Oreochromis niloticus: one gene and its partner. The protein of the gene in region 1 purifies or fractionates together with the protein of each later gene. This does not show direct contact. Links are inferred from orthologs where the notes say so. Each region holds a gene or a part of one and is shown on either strand. Other genes may lie near its edges.

Region 1 (7,787 bases):
CAGGCTGTGCGCTTTAAATACCCACTTCTGCAGATCTGATAGTAAAGACATGATTTGTGATATTCTAGAAATAAAGAGATAAAGAAATAAATCTTTGTTTTCCACCTTGTGAGCCGTTCATTGTTGCTTTCATCGCACAGATAAGAATCCTTAAATATCTCCAGTAAAGTCTCAGCTTTGCTTTCATGATGAAAATGATTATCTCGCAGGATCATCCTCACTTTTAGATTTCAGGTGAAATAACAAAACATCAGCCAAATGAAGAGATTTGATTACAGTAATGGGGTTTAAAATTAAAATATAACAGAGAACATCATCATTAGTATCAGAATTGATCATTATTAGTAGTAGCTTTTTAATAATAATAATAATTTTATTATGATTAATTTTGAAAAACATTATTATTTCTACCAATTTACTCTGAGTATGTTTTAGCTAGCATCCCAAACTCCTCTGTGTTTTATTTAAGCAGTTAGTACGTCTGCATTGTGTTTACGCACATTTAGAGTCTTGGCAGGGAAAAAACCCTGACGTGGTTTTCCCATGTCACAAGACAACCCGTCAGAAGAAGCAACAACACCTGAGTATTTGGATAAGTGCCATGTGTTTCATTTATTTTTTTTCCACACTTGGCTTACATCAATCCTTTTCACACTGCATGACAGAGTATGCAACAGTGTCACTATGTTCCTCATTGCACATAAAGGTGTGCCATTTTTACGTAGGCCCTGTTCGTAAGAATCAGTAGCTGTCTGATTCTGTTTATGTCTGAAGCCAGCTTTGAACAACTGGAATATTGAAATCCCTCTCCCTCTACAACTATTATATAAATATAAAACCTTAAATGAGATAAGCATGATTTTTTTTTTTCTTTTAACTGGGAATATGTAGATTATTGAAACTCAGAGCGAGTCCAGTGCCACAGCAAATTCACACATAGTACAAAAACATTACAAAAAAAGATAAAGTGCTAGAAAATGTATGCCTACCAGCTACTACACATCCTAATCACAATTTAAGATTTCTCTAACTGTGCAGTAAAAAGTATAGTGTGCAAATCAGTCGATATAACATTTATAGTCGTGAAAAACAAAGATTTCAACAGGACTGTGCAGCCCTTAGCACACCCCATGATTATTACCTATTATTATTATTATTATTACCTATATATATTAGCTTGTAGAACCACCTTTAGAAACAGTAACTTGGAAGTTACAACTTTCTGTTTGATTTTTCAGTCAAACAGAAAGTGACATGGTTGTGGAGGAACTTTGGTCCACTCTTCTGTGCATGTGCTGCCTTTTTCTTTTTAGAGAGAAGAGGCTTTCTCCTGGTAACGACTCCAACGATTCCAGCAGCTCCTTGCTGCTGCTTACCTTCTTAATTCCTATCGAAGCAATTAGGGTGTACTTAGTTTGTGTACTTAGTCATGTAAAAACTCTTTTCACATGGCTGTATTTACTGCAGTTATGTAAGAGAAATAGAGTGACTGCTTTGCCATCATTGTACAAGTGATTAATTCTGAGTAACTTTTTGTTTTATTAAAAGAAAAGGATAAAAGCCTTTCAGTCTGTCATTCAAATCCAAACATTGCTTCTGGATAACATGCACCACTAGGATTTGAATGCCATAAAGGCGTGATGCCTGGGGCAAATTTTCAAAGCCATGCTTAGACTGAACTGTTGCACCAGTCTGACACGTCTGGCCTCTTCTTTACTCTGGAACAAATCAGTTCACCTCTCTCATCCTCAGGTGACAGGACACACCTGCCTCTGTGTCTCCTGACCTCATATAAACAGCATTTGCCTCAGCCTCTTCTCAGCAGTCTGCACCTGACCGGCTCAGGATCACCTTGCACTTACACGCTTCCCAAAAGAAGGAAAAGTCAAGTTCGTCAACATGCCTGCCAGCCTGAGTGGCAAATGGGAGATGATCAGCAATGTCAACTTTGACGACTACATGATTGTGCTGGGTAAGTCCTTCAAGCGTGTTGTTTCCCTCATGAGAATGTGCATTCACCTCATTCAAAATGCACTTTTGTAGAAAAACACGGCAGCAGGGCTATTTATCATTTAACTGTGCGAGAAATGAGAAAATGAATTTGTGCCTATGGCTCAACCTCTGTTTCCACTTTTCCAGGCATCAGCGCTTCCTTACGAAAAATTGCTACGAAACTTAACTTAAAGAAAACAATTGAGCGGCAGGGGGACCAGTTCATCATCAAAACCACGAGCACTTTCCGAAACTACACGGTCACCTTCAAAGTGGGCCAGGAATTTAATGAGTTTACAAAGGGACTAGACAACAGACACCTGAAGGTAAATGGGAATGGCTAGAGTGTATCATAAATATCATAATTGGAGGGGGTTTTTTAATAGATAATTAATGTACTTTGAATATTATGCATGTTGAAAAACAAGTCGTGATTCACACTTTCGCTTCTCTGTTCCCTTTGCAGTCGCTTGTGAGATGGGAGGGGAACAAACTAATATGTGAACAGACTGGAGAGAAGAAGAACAGGGGATGGACTCACTGGATTGAAGATGACAAGCTTCATCTGGTAAGACTGTGAATTTGGACATTCTACATAATACACAGAATTAAAAAACTATGTATTATTGAACTCATTTTAATCTGTTATATTTAAATAAAATGTAATTATTAAAGCTTTTCTGACCCTTTCTCTTTAGGAGCTATTCTGCGAAGGACAAGTCTGCAAGCAGGTTTATAAGAACGTTTCAAAGACGAGAGAAGAAGAATGAAGAGTTGGAGGAGGATCTTGAGGTGGTCCAGAATTAGAAGGCTTTATGTATTAGATCCAACCCTGACTGAGAATCCACACCGAGAGTTACGACTGGTGTCTTACCCGTCGCTTAAATACTCGGTTCAGGTGGAAACGTCTGTACTCTCGGGGTATGCATTTACACCACTAGATGGTACCGCTGCAATACTTTTGTCAGATGCTGGTCTGTCTGGTCCTGTAGCCTGTCGGTGCGTGCCTCTATCCCAAACCGTCAAAAATGTTTATAGCACCTTTCAGCTGGCTGAAAAAAATGTATTTTTTGTTAAATATTTAGAGCTATGAGAAAAAGGAGACACGGGTGCAGCTTGTGCTCTCCGTCGTGCATTTTGTTCAATGTTTCTGTAAATTTCTGTTCATTCAAGAACACTTATAACCAGTGTAACTGAAGGTTATTCGTAGGATGTTTGGAATACAGTTTTGTTGTATGTAATATGTGAGTAAGAAAAATAAATCTGATGTAAAAGTTGAAGCATTTTTTTTTATTGTGTTCTTAGTAAACTGACAGGTTTTTGTTGTGCCATTAATCACACGTCAGCATCGGATCGACTGGTAAAGTCACCATACCCCGTCGGCTAAATACTGCTGACACACTTCAGTTATAAGTTACACTAATGCATACGATTTGCTGCTTGAGCTCTGTGCGGTGGAAGCTTCAGGTAACAGTAGTTTAGTGCTTCTGCAGCAATAGTGGTAACCAGCATGACTAAAGGACACTGAGCGGATTGTCCCGTGCAGGTCACACTTTGGGGAGAACCCCTCATGTCTCTTTGTAATTTAAAAGAGGTCAATCATCAGCGTGTGCAGCTAGTTTTAAAGCTCAATCCTACTTGATAATTGCACAAATTGCCAGACAAATAGAAATGTGTTGAGGAAATTCTGCGCTCACAGCTGCCCTTCACTGATCCACTTCTGTGCCCAGAGTAAATGTGTCATCTGATTTGACTCTGCAGCACCACCCGTCAGCTACCTATGATCCACTCCCAGGCGCTTCATACACCACTCACACTTTGCCTTAGGTGACCTAAATAGGTCACATGGGGTGGGGCAAGGTCTCATAGTGACTTTACCCTTAACCCCAGGTAATGGTAATGACCCACACCTTTTTTCACACCATCAGGACCACCTCCAAAGGGGACAGCCCCCACCAGGGGTTATATACCTGGGACTCTCCATCTTCTTCATTTGTTTTAAAAACTGAAGAAGCTTCTTGGATGGGAAGTGAAACGTCTTCACAAACCTAAAGAAATCCAGTTGACCTCTTTTTTTTCAATCTCAAGACTCAATCCAGGACAGATATTTTTGCACTTTTATAAATGTAGCTGCATTTCTCAATGCACATACCATATATTTATGAGTATTCCATGTAAATAGTGAATGAACTGGTACTTTCTAGTTAGTTGATCAGTCAGGTGGGGCAACTCAAGGTTTAAGTGTCTTGCCCAAGGAAACTGGGTATTTTGTATACTGACTGCCTGTGTTTAAAAAAAAAAAAAAAAAAAAAAAAAAAAAATATATATATATATATGTATATATATATATTTATTAATTATGGCGAGTTATTACCAAAAATTGTCAAATTTGGTTGCCTGTTCAGTTCATCTGGTGTACTGCCCACCCTGTCACACACGTGATGTGGCTGTAACTGCGGTAAAAATAAATAGGCATTAAAATAAAATGTATAGGCACATACTGTATATTGCAGGCATCTTTACCTGGTGACAGATGATTGGCAATTACGTCACTAATATAAGTCTTTGCAGTGACCTTGCACCCCTCTGACTGGCCATGGTTCACGCACGCTCAGTTTGATACGTTGTATGTGGTAACTGTGACCTCAGTTATAACCCGAGGTCATGCTAATGCAGGAGCGTTACATTGAAGTGACCTAAAACAGACTTTTATACTTACACAACAGGTGAAATACTCCATTTATCTGTGCGACACGCTACGCACCCCCACCTTTGGTCCCTTTGGTCACGTGACTTGTGGAACCAAAATGGCCGCTGTTGTATTTTGACGTATAATAGCTAGCTACTTTTCTTTTTGTTTCATTCTTGGTAGAAAACCAGCAAACAGCAGACTTTTTGGGGGAACTATATTTCGCCATCCTCCGAATATCGGTGTCGTTTTTTATCTTGAAGACAATCAAAAGCCTGACACATATATTTGTTGAATGAGTTAGACTATGCATATTTAGATCTAATACAAGCTAGCTAGCTGGCTCTGGCTGGCATATTAAAGCATTAGAAAGTGAAATAGCTAGCTGTCTTAGCTGGGATGATGGAGGAGTTGAGCGCAGATGAGGTAAGGTGACAATATGAATAAACGCTTACACAGGGAATTGAAATGATTTTACGTTACTGACGTTACAAATGTACGTTTTGCAAATTCTTCCTTTACCCCTTTTAGGGGTATTGCTGCTAGCTGAGGTGCTACAAAAACTAGCTGATGGAAGAAATACATTTTCGACAAAAATCTCAGTTAGCTAGAACACGGTAGTGGGTGTTACGCAGTTTAACTCAAAGGCCAGTTATTCACTTCTTATATTGGGAATATAAGAAGTGAAAGAACGAGAGGTGGATTTGGGCCGTGTTCTATTTAGCTGGAGCAGCTGGGTTGCTAAATGAAAGTAGCTAACGTAATGCTACAAGCTGGAGAACACTGCTCTTATATAAAGCATCGAAAATATTTCAAGATCTTGTTAGCCGCTTGTAAGTGGCAGATATTTGTCTGTGTTGTGTTTTCACAGGGAAGTTAGGAAGGGAATACCTTTTGACTGATTTGTTTTCGCGTGTCACCTCGCGGCGGTTTAGCTGACAGACAGAAATTAGCCTGCGAGACGACTCAGCATAAAAAACACACACAGAGACCGGGCCACCATTGTGCAATCAGCCGTGGGCCGATGCATGGCCATTGAGCTGTTTATGTGAAATCGCATACAGCATACTGCAGTTTACAGTCATCATTTTCAGCTGCTCGATTAGCATTCAGCAGAGTGTGCAGCAGATAATTTAGCTTTAACGTCGCTCCTCGGCCAAGCTGCGACGATTCGTGTCCGCATCTGACTTTATTCGCGATGTTTTTCTTCAGATCTGACTTTAAAACGTACAACAAAGAAAATCTGTGCCTTAATGATCTGTCTTTTCTGGGCAATATATGCATAATTTGGTTATTCTTACAGTGTCCAGGGATTTATATACATACATATAGGTTTATTATTAACCTATTAATACATTTCAACGTTATGCAGTTATGAAGAGCTACAGAGTTCTTTTAATGACCCTGTATATCTGCCCATTCAAGATTCGCAGGAGGAGATTGGCACGATTGGCAGGAGGACAAACGTCCCAGCCTAGCACCCCTCTCAGCACACCCCTGACATCCCCACAGAGAGAGACTCCACCTGGACCCCTCCCTGGACCCTCAGGTGCTGCACCCCAACCCGTGCCACCAGCTGCCTCTCAATCACTGGGCCTCAATGTCCACAGTGGTACCCCTGCTACATCCCCTATGGGCACCTCTGGTAAGAAATTAAAACAAGGTTCTGGGAGGCAATTTCCTATAAGGAAAAATAAAAAAAAATATTGAAAAAAGTTTGTGACATTGAACAGTGTTAAAATATCAAAAATCCCCCAAATCAGGGTACACTGTGACAAAAAGTGTACCCTACTAGACACGAATGGTGAGCCCTCTAGTACAAAGGTAGAATGGAGGCTTCAGTCATGCACGGGCTCTAGAAAATGCAGCAGAGATCCATGTATGGATACAGCAACAGTTTCCTGGCATTGTTTGTTGCTATGCATAGCCATGCTGCTTTAAAGGTCTTCCTTTTAGGCCCAGTGGTGCATTTCCTAAGTGATTAATAAGAAGAAAAAATACTGGCAGTTGGACAAGCCATACCTACACACCAACTTATTAATGTGTATTACATCTGACATTGGTAGGGTAATCATTCGATTGCATGATTGTTGTATAACCAGGAGAGAGCTGTTAATTCCAGCCCCCTATCCGGTGTAAGATCCTCTGTTAATCAGATTTCTCACTACCTGTCTGCAGTAGTCAGTAAGCAACTTAAAAATTCCAATCTGAGCCTTTGCTAACCCAGACTGACTAAACAGTTGGTTCTTCTTTAAGCAATAGCTGTGACATGAATTCTAAAACTGTACATGGTTGCCTATTCATGTCATATCTTTGTGTGGTTCCCAGTGGTAAGTGTTAGAGAATGGCAGTAAAAAGTGCCTTATTTTCAGCATTAAACGTCATCTTTGATTACAATATCAGGAAAGATAAAGACGATAAAAACTTATTTTGTATAAAAACTGAACTGAACAATCATTTCAAAATCAAAGCCTCAAACCTGCTGTTTCTTCTTTAAAAACTTGTAGATATGTATATTAATATTTTCTTCATTTCAGCAGCTCTAACGGAGTCTTTTTTTTCTGGCAAATGTATACTTTTTTCCCCGACTACTGCCACAACTTTAGGGCCATTTTGCACAACCTCTTCCTCATTTCGTCTTCCTTTCTTGATCTTTTCATGTCATCACACTCTGATATTATGCCAGCCATGTATAGATGTATGTACTGCGTATGTCTCAGATTTTAGTCATTACATTTACTGACATAGAAAATTAGGATTCCCTTTGATCACAACATCCAAATGCGTTTGCCAGTCCACACGCAAGGTATTTGATTCGTTTATTCTTTTTGTTTCAAAATATTTTCATTGAATACATCCGAGAAAATAGGATTTAATGTGAAACATAACTCGAGGGCATTTCAAAGAGGAATCAGCCCTGTGTGCTTACACAGTTCACTGGTAAAGGTGTCTTGTTTTCTTTCTGTACGAAGGCCAGTTGAAAGTGAAGAGTAAACATGACTGATGTTTGGTTTTGGGTGACTGTTTGACATCAATGACCTGGATCCATCATGTTTTTTGTTTCGATTTAATTTCCTCAGAGTTCTTAGTGTGCTTTTTTTTGACT
Region 2 (8,027 bases), on another chromosome or scaffold:
CTCTAGAGAAAAACTTATCCTTCAAGTTTTGCATTAAGAAGCAAAAATTAGGAGAAAGTCTTGTCTTTCTATGGTAGAAATATGAAGCCCTAATCTGTTTTAGAGTACAGATTGGCGACCAATGTAATCTAGGATAACCTGGTTTGCCACTTTATGCATGCAAGCATTTTTATCTTATTTTTATCCCCCACATATTGAGATTTGGTTTGTCTGATTTGGTTCTAGTTTACAAAGGTAAACACATACAAGTCTCATAAAAAACACATAAGAGATCTGTACTGAAGCAGAACAGCAGCTGAAACAGCAGTTAACAGTTTTAACAGTTAATGGAGGAAATATATGACTGTAAAGAGACCTCACACAAAAAAACTTTAGCCTTTATTTAAATTTATAACAGGGGTGTTAAACTGTATTCAAAGTAAATAAAGTATATGTGTTCTTAATATTCAAACCTTTAGCCTGCATAGCTTGTTTGTTTGATTTTTTTGGGTTAGATATATCAAATTATCAGTCTGGTAGAACTTTTTAGTACTACCAGGGTATTATTTACCCCACATGCAGTTTGTTTGAATCTAGTAACACTGATATAACACGGGCCTCCATCACCACAGCTCAATCAAAAACACAAAGAAAGAAAGTATGAGGAAACTGGGGGAAGATATTGCAGTAGTAACCAGCTTCTTTATGAATGTTACTTTATATGGAACTACCGTTAAATGCAATGCTCACTTTCTATCAAACGAGGGCGCAGTCCGTTTAATTCATAAATATTAGCTTTTTAGCTCCATTTTTGATAGAGTATACTATCTAGCTTAGTAGGCCTACGACTTGTTTAAAAGGTAAGCTACAAACATCTGTACTAGACGTGTCTCTAGACCCGGTGAACAGAGCAGACTAAGCCTGTGTAATTCAGCCATAGCGCCTCCCTGGCCCGACTTCGTGGAGTTTCCCTTCTCCCCAGCTGTTGCTCTTCTTTTAAAATAACCCAAGTTTACCGTTGGCTTTTTCACTATGATACAAACAAAACATCCCGGTTAGCTGGTGCTTTTGCCCCCAAACACTATGTATAAATGCTTACCATGACAAGAGGGAGAAACTTGAAAACCACCAACCCTCCAGCGGAGGCGACTCTTTTCTCTGTTCAGCGCTGGCGGTGTGATTTTCCAGAGCAGTTCATTCCTCTTAGAGCAAAGCACGGCTATAACACTTTGTTTTGACGCTGGATAAAACTAGAGGGCGTTTTTCCTGAGTGTTTGGGTATGTTCCATTGATTTGGGACGGGGAGCTCTTCACAGAAACCACTCCTTGCTGCTTCGTCCAGCAGTGATGTCATGCTGACCCCCATCCCCCAGTTAACCATTTAGTCGTCGTACCTTTTTTCCGCGAACTCATCGACTTTTCTTGCCACGTTACAGTATTTCAGGATAAATACATAGTTTGACTGAGTACTTCCAAGTCCGAGTGTGTTCAGAAAACCTAAACAACTTTTTTTTTCTTTATGTATGTATTTATTTATATATTATTAGCCAATCGCTATCGTATGGTCCTAAAAGGTATGGTGGCCCTAATGTGGTAAAAATTTACAATTTTTTAATTAATAGGTTAATAAATTAATAGAATAAAACACACACACACACAAATAACGAAAGAATAAATTGTGTTGTGCTTGGCAAGTTTTTGTTTTCACCCGGAGATAACACAAATTATTGTAAATCATTTTTGGATGCTTGCAATTTGGTTGTAATTTCAAAACAACGCCATTGAAAAAAGCCACACACACACTGGCACCATCCATGTGCCGCCTAAGTAGGAAATTATGGTTCAGCAGTGGTAGTGCGCTGGGCGTCTGTGGCAGTCTGTGAAGAGCTACAAACAGTGTCTGTTGTCAGATAGGGGTTGTGTCAAAAGTATGATACTCTTACAGAGACAAAAACTAAATAAAAATAATGGAAACTGTCCACTGCAGCCACTGTCTGCAATGTTCATACAATGTTCAATTTTTTGTAATATCTTATATGGGTTTTTTGTGCTTCTTCCATTCTTGGTGGATTCTGCTGTTTTCTTCTTTTTCTTTTCCCAGTTCTGGGAACAGGTCAGCATTCGACCAATACACAGCACTACCCACATCCAGCAATCTGCAGTTGGGATTCTGGAGGACTGCACTGGAGCACTTTTAGGTTGATTGAAAACCCTTCTCCATAGCCAAATACATATGGAAATGGACACAATCATGGTGCCATAAATTAAGCATTATTTGGCACACTTTTTTCCCCCACATGCAGTCATAGACTTTTCTTTCCACATACAGTATTGCTGTACTTCATAAAACACAACATTCTATAGAAAACAAAACAATAACAGGAGTGTGCTACAAAGTGATATTAATGGCTTGGCAAATTCATTTCACTTTGATCTGCTGACAAAACTAAAGTGATTTCCACGTCTTCTTTAGCGGGCTATGGGATGGTAAAAATTAACCTTTAAATTGATTAAAGTTTGACATTTCAGAGCACTAATGTGCAGCTGTAACCTTAAAAATAAATAGTGGTACTGAGAGTGCGCTCAGTGATAAAAAATATTTTTAACTGGGATTAAAATGTTTACCACTCTTCATGTAAATTGTGAAATTGTTAAAGCCCAAGATAAACTATTTTCTTCAGTATTAATCTTTTGTCTCATTTGCAACAGGGTTGCATTTTACTGTTATATTTTAGATGTTCTTTATTGATTTTTCATCACAATTTTATCATCATCATCTGCTAATGTCTCTTATTGGAGCAGTCAGCACTCATAATGATCATTTTGTGTGAAAGAAGAGTTATACAACCCATTAAAGGCACTTTTTCTTGTGAGCAAGCACAGAGCCTGAAGCAAAAAGCCTAGCTTAACTGAGAAAGTTGATAACCGCTGTCATGATACCCATCGTATCCAACTGGGTTTTAAATTTTGTCGAGCCAGCTAAGGCAAAGAAAGCTTGGTTGTGTTGAACTACATTTATAGTATACCCCTCAGGAGAAAACAAAATTATTTGTCACAAAGCTTGAAATTAGGGCCTAGATGCACACTGAGAAGGCAGGCAAAGTAAACACACACAAAACACACCTTTAGTAGTGAATGGATCTCATTCGCTACTAAAGATAATGTTTTGTTTGTTGTTTGGATCCAATTCAAAAATGGAAAAAGTCCACAAACATGCAAGAATAAGACTGGGAAACACACTAGAAGGATGAACAGGCATGGTGATAAAGGCTGAGGAGAAGACAGTAGACTTTAATATACATAAGGGTAACCAAGAGAAGTCGACAAAGCAGAGTACACACAGATGATAAAAAATAAAGACAATGAGACAGGAGTGTAAGCAAACCTAAACACAAAACTCTAGAAAGAACTAGCAAAATAAGACAGAAAGAAACTTCTATAGAGGCCAGACCCACACAGACACCTACAGAGCTGCTAAACAACGAGGGAAACTGGAGTGAAAGAAAGCTGAGAATGTGTCGATAGTTGTGCACGTTGTCATTTGGTAGGATATTAGCAGCAAATACAAGCAATGCACAACATAATACATAAAGGTTGATTTTTTTTGTATAAAGGGTATAATTTTGTGATAAAGTCTATCATTGATTGCAGAACTGGTGAGAACGAGGCGATTACAGAAGTGTATAATTTAATGGTAGTAGTAGCAGTAGGACTTTTTTTTCAGTTATTCCCCAAAATTTGATTTGCATTATAATACAATCCTGATTTTATGAACTTTAAAAAGCATGTTAAAATTTTCTTTCTCCCTTCCTTTTCCTTAAGTGACAGATTAGTAATGGATAGGTACAGCTACAGCGAAACAGGCTGACATATTTCCTGTCAATTATGGTTTTCACAAATGTTTACTCGTTAATTGCTCATCTAAAGTAATTGATTAGCTACCCAAGGGCACTTATTGCTCATTCAAAGTGGCCACTTACACTTGTCTAGCGGTTTATTGGTAATTCAGACTAGTCTTTTACATATTGTAGCACATGTTAACCAATCAAATCAAGATTTATAGAAAATAATTGGCTCTTTATTGTAATCTATTATTCATAGTATTGTTTACCTTTGTGATAATAGCCCATAGCCCATCCCTGTTTTGTGAGATGTTGTTTTATTTGCTTTGTTGATGTTGATTTTGTGATATGAAAGAATGTCATTATTAATCTGCTTTATGCAACAGACATAGATAGTGACCTATGAATTTACATATTAATACTTCCTTATATTAGAATATTTGCATGATTGTTTATTCCAATTAGTAACACTACCAGTTCCCTCAGCAAGGCTCTCAAAACACTTTCCTCACATCTGTAAACAATATTCAGATTTTTACTTGTTTCTGTGTAAAACCTTCTTTCAATTCTGCATGTAAAAGTGGACTAATTAACCATTCAGTGCAGTATATACTGTATGCACTTTAACACACATAGTCAGTCCAATATAGTTAAGTCAGCATCATCAGAAAACAAAGAAAATATAATATAAAATATAATCTATCCACAGCTATTAACACAAATTCATTAATAATCTCTATCATTATTAATCTCCATATCAGTAAAGTGATGCCAATTCTCTGAATACTGATTTCAGAGCATGAAAGCCCATTTTGGTATTAAGTGAATCCCCACTACAGCGATCAAGGTAGTTTGAAAAAAGTGGGTTACAAAAGGTTTATCAGTTGGGGGCTGGGAAATTTTGGACTGATTCCATCTTGGACAGGTAGGATATGAAACTCATTCTATGTGGGAATACGCTAATTGTGAGATTAGAATTAGCGTATTCCCTCAGATGCCATGGGATAGAGATGCTGATGTAACAGTCTGACCGAAAGCTAAGTTGGATTAACATTTATTTTCCATTTATTTCCCATTCCAATAATGATTTTATTTATACGCGCGCGCGTGTGTGTGTGTGTGTGTGTGTGTGTGTTAAGGAGTCATCACAAATCTTCGAAAATATATCTATCTATGAATATTACAGAAAAGTGAAAGCTCCTTTGTTTGGACAGTGGACGTAAACGCAACTTAGACACGTGACTAAAACCAGGAAGTGGATTCAGTGTCAACAAAGAAAGGGTGAGTGTGCAGTTGTTCATATAGAGTTTTAGTTTTATTCTTAGTTCTGTAAGACTCAGTTATTTTTAAAGATTTTTTTTAAATCACCCAAACTAAACGGCATGAAAAGTTTAATTTAGAAAATCGGCATGCTTCGTGAGCAAACGCTAGGCAGCTAACCGGGTTGAGTGGTAACGTGATTCATTACAACCTCGTAGAAAAGGTAATCGTCAGGTAATAGCGCATTTTGACGTGAGTTCCTCCTGTGGATCATGGGTCTAAGGTTTATTTTGTGTCAAAAAGACCTGCCGTATCTTCACACTGAAGCAGAGTGAAGCTGTAATATTATACTGTTAGCTAACAGGGTATATGTTGTGGTCTACCCCACCGTGTTAAGCTTGTGTTCTGTGGACTAATTGCAGGTGTGTAGGGTTAATAAACAGGAAGAGATGGCCTCGTCAGAATGGAATCTGTCTTTGAAGCTGGTTGATCAGCCCAAATCCATCTTCCACTTCCCGGAGATGATGCCAGGTGATGTTCCACCTGGAGGATACAGGGTCGCCACCCTGAAACAGCTTGTTGCAGCTCAGTTCCCAGACTCCATCCCAGACCCTGAGCTAATAGGTACGTCACCATCATCCGTTAGCTGTCAGTGAAATCTGTGCATGTCTCTGTGTGAAAATCTCACCACTCTCTTCTGTGTGTTAACCAGAGTTCATCCACTGTGGCCGGAAACTTAAAGATGACCTTACACTGGATGCCTGTGGGATTCAACCAGGATCCACCTTACACATCCTCAAAAAGACATGGCCAGAGCCAGAGAGTAGTCCAGGTCTGTGTGTATGCATCATTTAAGCTTAAAACTGTGTTTAAGCTGTAAATGACATTGAACTTGTGAATCTGAATGTGTGTTTGTATTTTCCAGAGCCTGTAAACAGGGTAACTGCAGCAAGGGAGTTCAGGGTGTTTCATGCTGCTCTTCATTCTCTCAGCTCTGCCTACAGGGACTCAGTGAGTAGAGGAAACACACTCACGGTAACTGAGCTGCTTAGGTATTCAGCTAATTTTAGTGAGTGTTAAAAAGAACTTGATCTTTCATTCACTTCTTATGAGATTTCTCTCTCTCCACAACAACCATTTTGGCTAATATCAAATTTTATTAATACCAAACTGGCTAATATCTACATTTTGTTTGAGAAAAGAAGAACCAGAGGTCTTTTGCTTGTTAGGGAAATGTGTAAACAAGCTGCTGTTTCAGCTAGGGGTGGGTGCTGTTATGTACAATATATTAGATTAGTTAATGAAGTTATAAATTAACATTGGTTTTCCAGTGTTAGTCCATGATGTGTTAACTCTATTTGAAGTAAAGTACCGGAATAAGAAACTCATTTCAGCACCTCTAACAGACACATGCAGTAGAATGGGACCACTGAAGGTCACTTTGAGTTTCATGTATTGTCCTGAAGCTATCATTAGCTGCTTTACTTTCCAGAGCCCTGCCATTAGACAAGGCAGTTCATCTTTCAGAGAAAAGTACACAAGTGTTGACATTTTCTGTTTTTGAAAGACATGGTACTCTTTCATTAATGACAAGTGTGCGTAAAACAGTTGGCCCTAAATATGAACCACTCAGCTGGTGGTTTCACAGCTGCTTCTTTTTTACAGTGATTACATGCCTTGAACAGACAGCAGTGTAGTTCCAGTTAAGAAATGTTGTTTTGTGTTGAGATAAGGGAATAGTTATCAAGTGAAAACATGAATCAGCTGTAAGAATGGAAAAAAAATCATTCATAATTCATTGGCCATATGCCTTAGCTCTTTTTTTTTTTTTTTAGACCATGTGGCTTCACAGCTTGCATAAAGTTATTTGACACAGGCACTCAATTTTATTTTGGTCATGCCTTAAACTAAAATAAATACATAAATAAGTAAACAAATAAGCGTTTGTCCTTGACCATGAGATAGTTTGGCGCAAGCAGCTGGAATCTTCTCCACTGTCCTTTGGATGATGTCACATCTTTGTTCAGTGGTGTTTACCTCTGATTGCATCACCCTAGTTGCATGTCAGAGCTATGAATAAACAGACCCCAGGCCACTAGGAGCTGCTTTAAACATAAATGAGTTTAACTGTTGCAGCTTTTGCAGCATTCAACCTCAGCAACATTACAGCATGTTGGCTTAAAAAACGATTGGACTATGTGGATTCTACATAAACTGGTATAAATAAGTCACTACTATTCATAGTGCACTATATGAACAAAACAAGTGTGCCACATATGCATTACAGGAGCTGCTTGGCCCTGGTCTACTGGAGCTCCAGGTGCACCTTATTCAATTATTAAATCTTTCCCCCATAAAGACAACATTTGATGACCTCCCTGTACCCCCTTAATGATGAGTTTTGACACCCCAGAATAAATCTTTAAAAAAAAGAGAGATGTTGTTTGACATCCATTGGAATTGTTTCTGGGTTTTTCCAGGCTGCACAGGCAGAGACCAAACCCAGTAATCTTGTTCTTTAAGCAGGCCTGACATATGGCAGAAACCATTCACTTCAGAAAAACAAGTTTAAGGGTTACTTCTAGTAACCTTTCAGGGGGTAAAGAGTTATGAAGTGTGTGCCCCAGTTCTTTGGTCCGTATAGTGTAGCTCATAAAAGTCAGGTCAGATGATACAGCAGGTCCTGTAGATGTATATAATCAGAGGTACTTGTTAGTTCACATGCTTTGGGTGCTGTGTTATGGCCCTCAAACATCATTGCTATCATCCTCAACTTGTCATTTACATTATATATAATGTATTTGAACAACTAGTACTTGCCCATGCTACAGTAGTGCTTGGCCTCTTTGTACTTTTGGCAGACTGATATACTGCATTGCCACGAGAAAAGTGAAACAAAAAAAATCAGGTTAATAGATGTTGTTTATATGCTAAAAATGGGTCATT

What was found. The genes of interacting proteins can lie anywhere in the genome.
Region 2: the proteins of ube4b (region 1) and ubl7b purify together in Homo sapiens (affinity purification with mass spectrometry; 3 studies listed by BioGRID and IntAct, counting the BioPlex papers as one, with this or other methods). This does not show direct contact. The link is inferred for Oreochromis niloticus from reciprocal best matches to the Homo sapiens genes UBE4B and UBL7.

The regions. Positions count from the first base shown.
Region 1 is NC_031984.2:22,088,165-22,095,951, forward strand, and holds the start of ube4b (ubiquitin conjugation factor E4 B), read left to right. Parts: upstream 1-4,753; 5' UTR 4,754-5,080; coding exon 5,081-5,107; intron 5,108-6,106; coding exon 6,107-6,326; intron 6,327-7,787. Other genes in the region: rbp7a (retinoid-binding protein 7a), read left to right, coding at 1,900-1,972, 2,140-2,318, 2,459-2,560, 2,691-2,762. UniProt on the Homo sapiens protein: Ubiquitin-protein ligase that probably functions as an E3 ligase in conjunction with specific E1 and E2 ligases. May also function as an E4 ligase mediating the assembly of polyubiquitin chains on substrates ubiquitinated by another E3 ubiquitin ligase.
Region 2 is NC_031965.2:29,413,693-29,421,719, forward strand, and holds the start of ubl7b (ubiquitin-like protein 7b), read left to right. Parts: upstream 1-5,007; 5' UTR 5,008-5,102; intron 5,103-5,122; exon of another isoform or gene 5,123-5,315; intron 5,316-5,503; 5' UTR 5,504-5,530; coding exon 5,531-5,705; intron 5,706-5,793; coding exon 5,794-5,913; intron 5,914-6,006; coding exon 6,007-6,116; intron 6,117-8,027.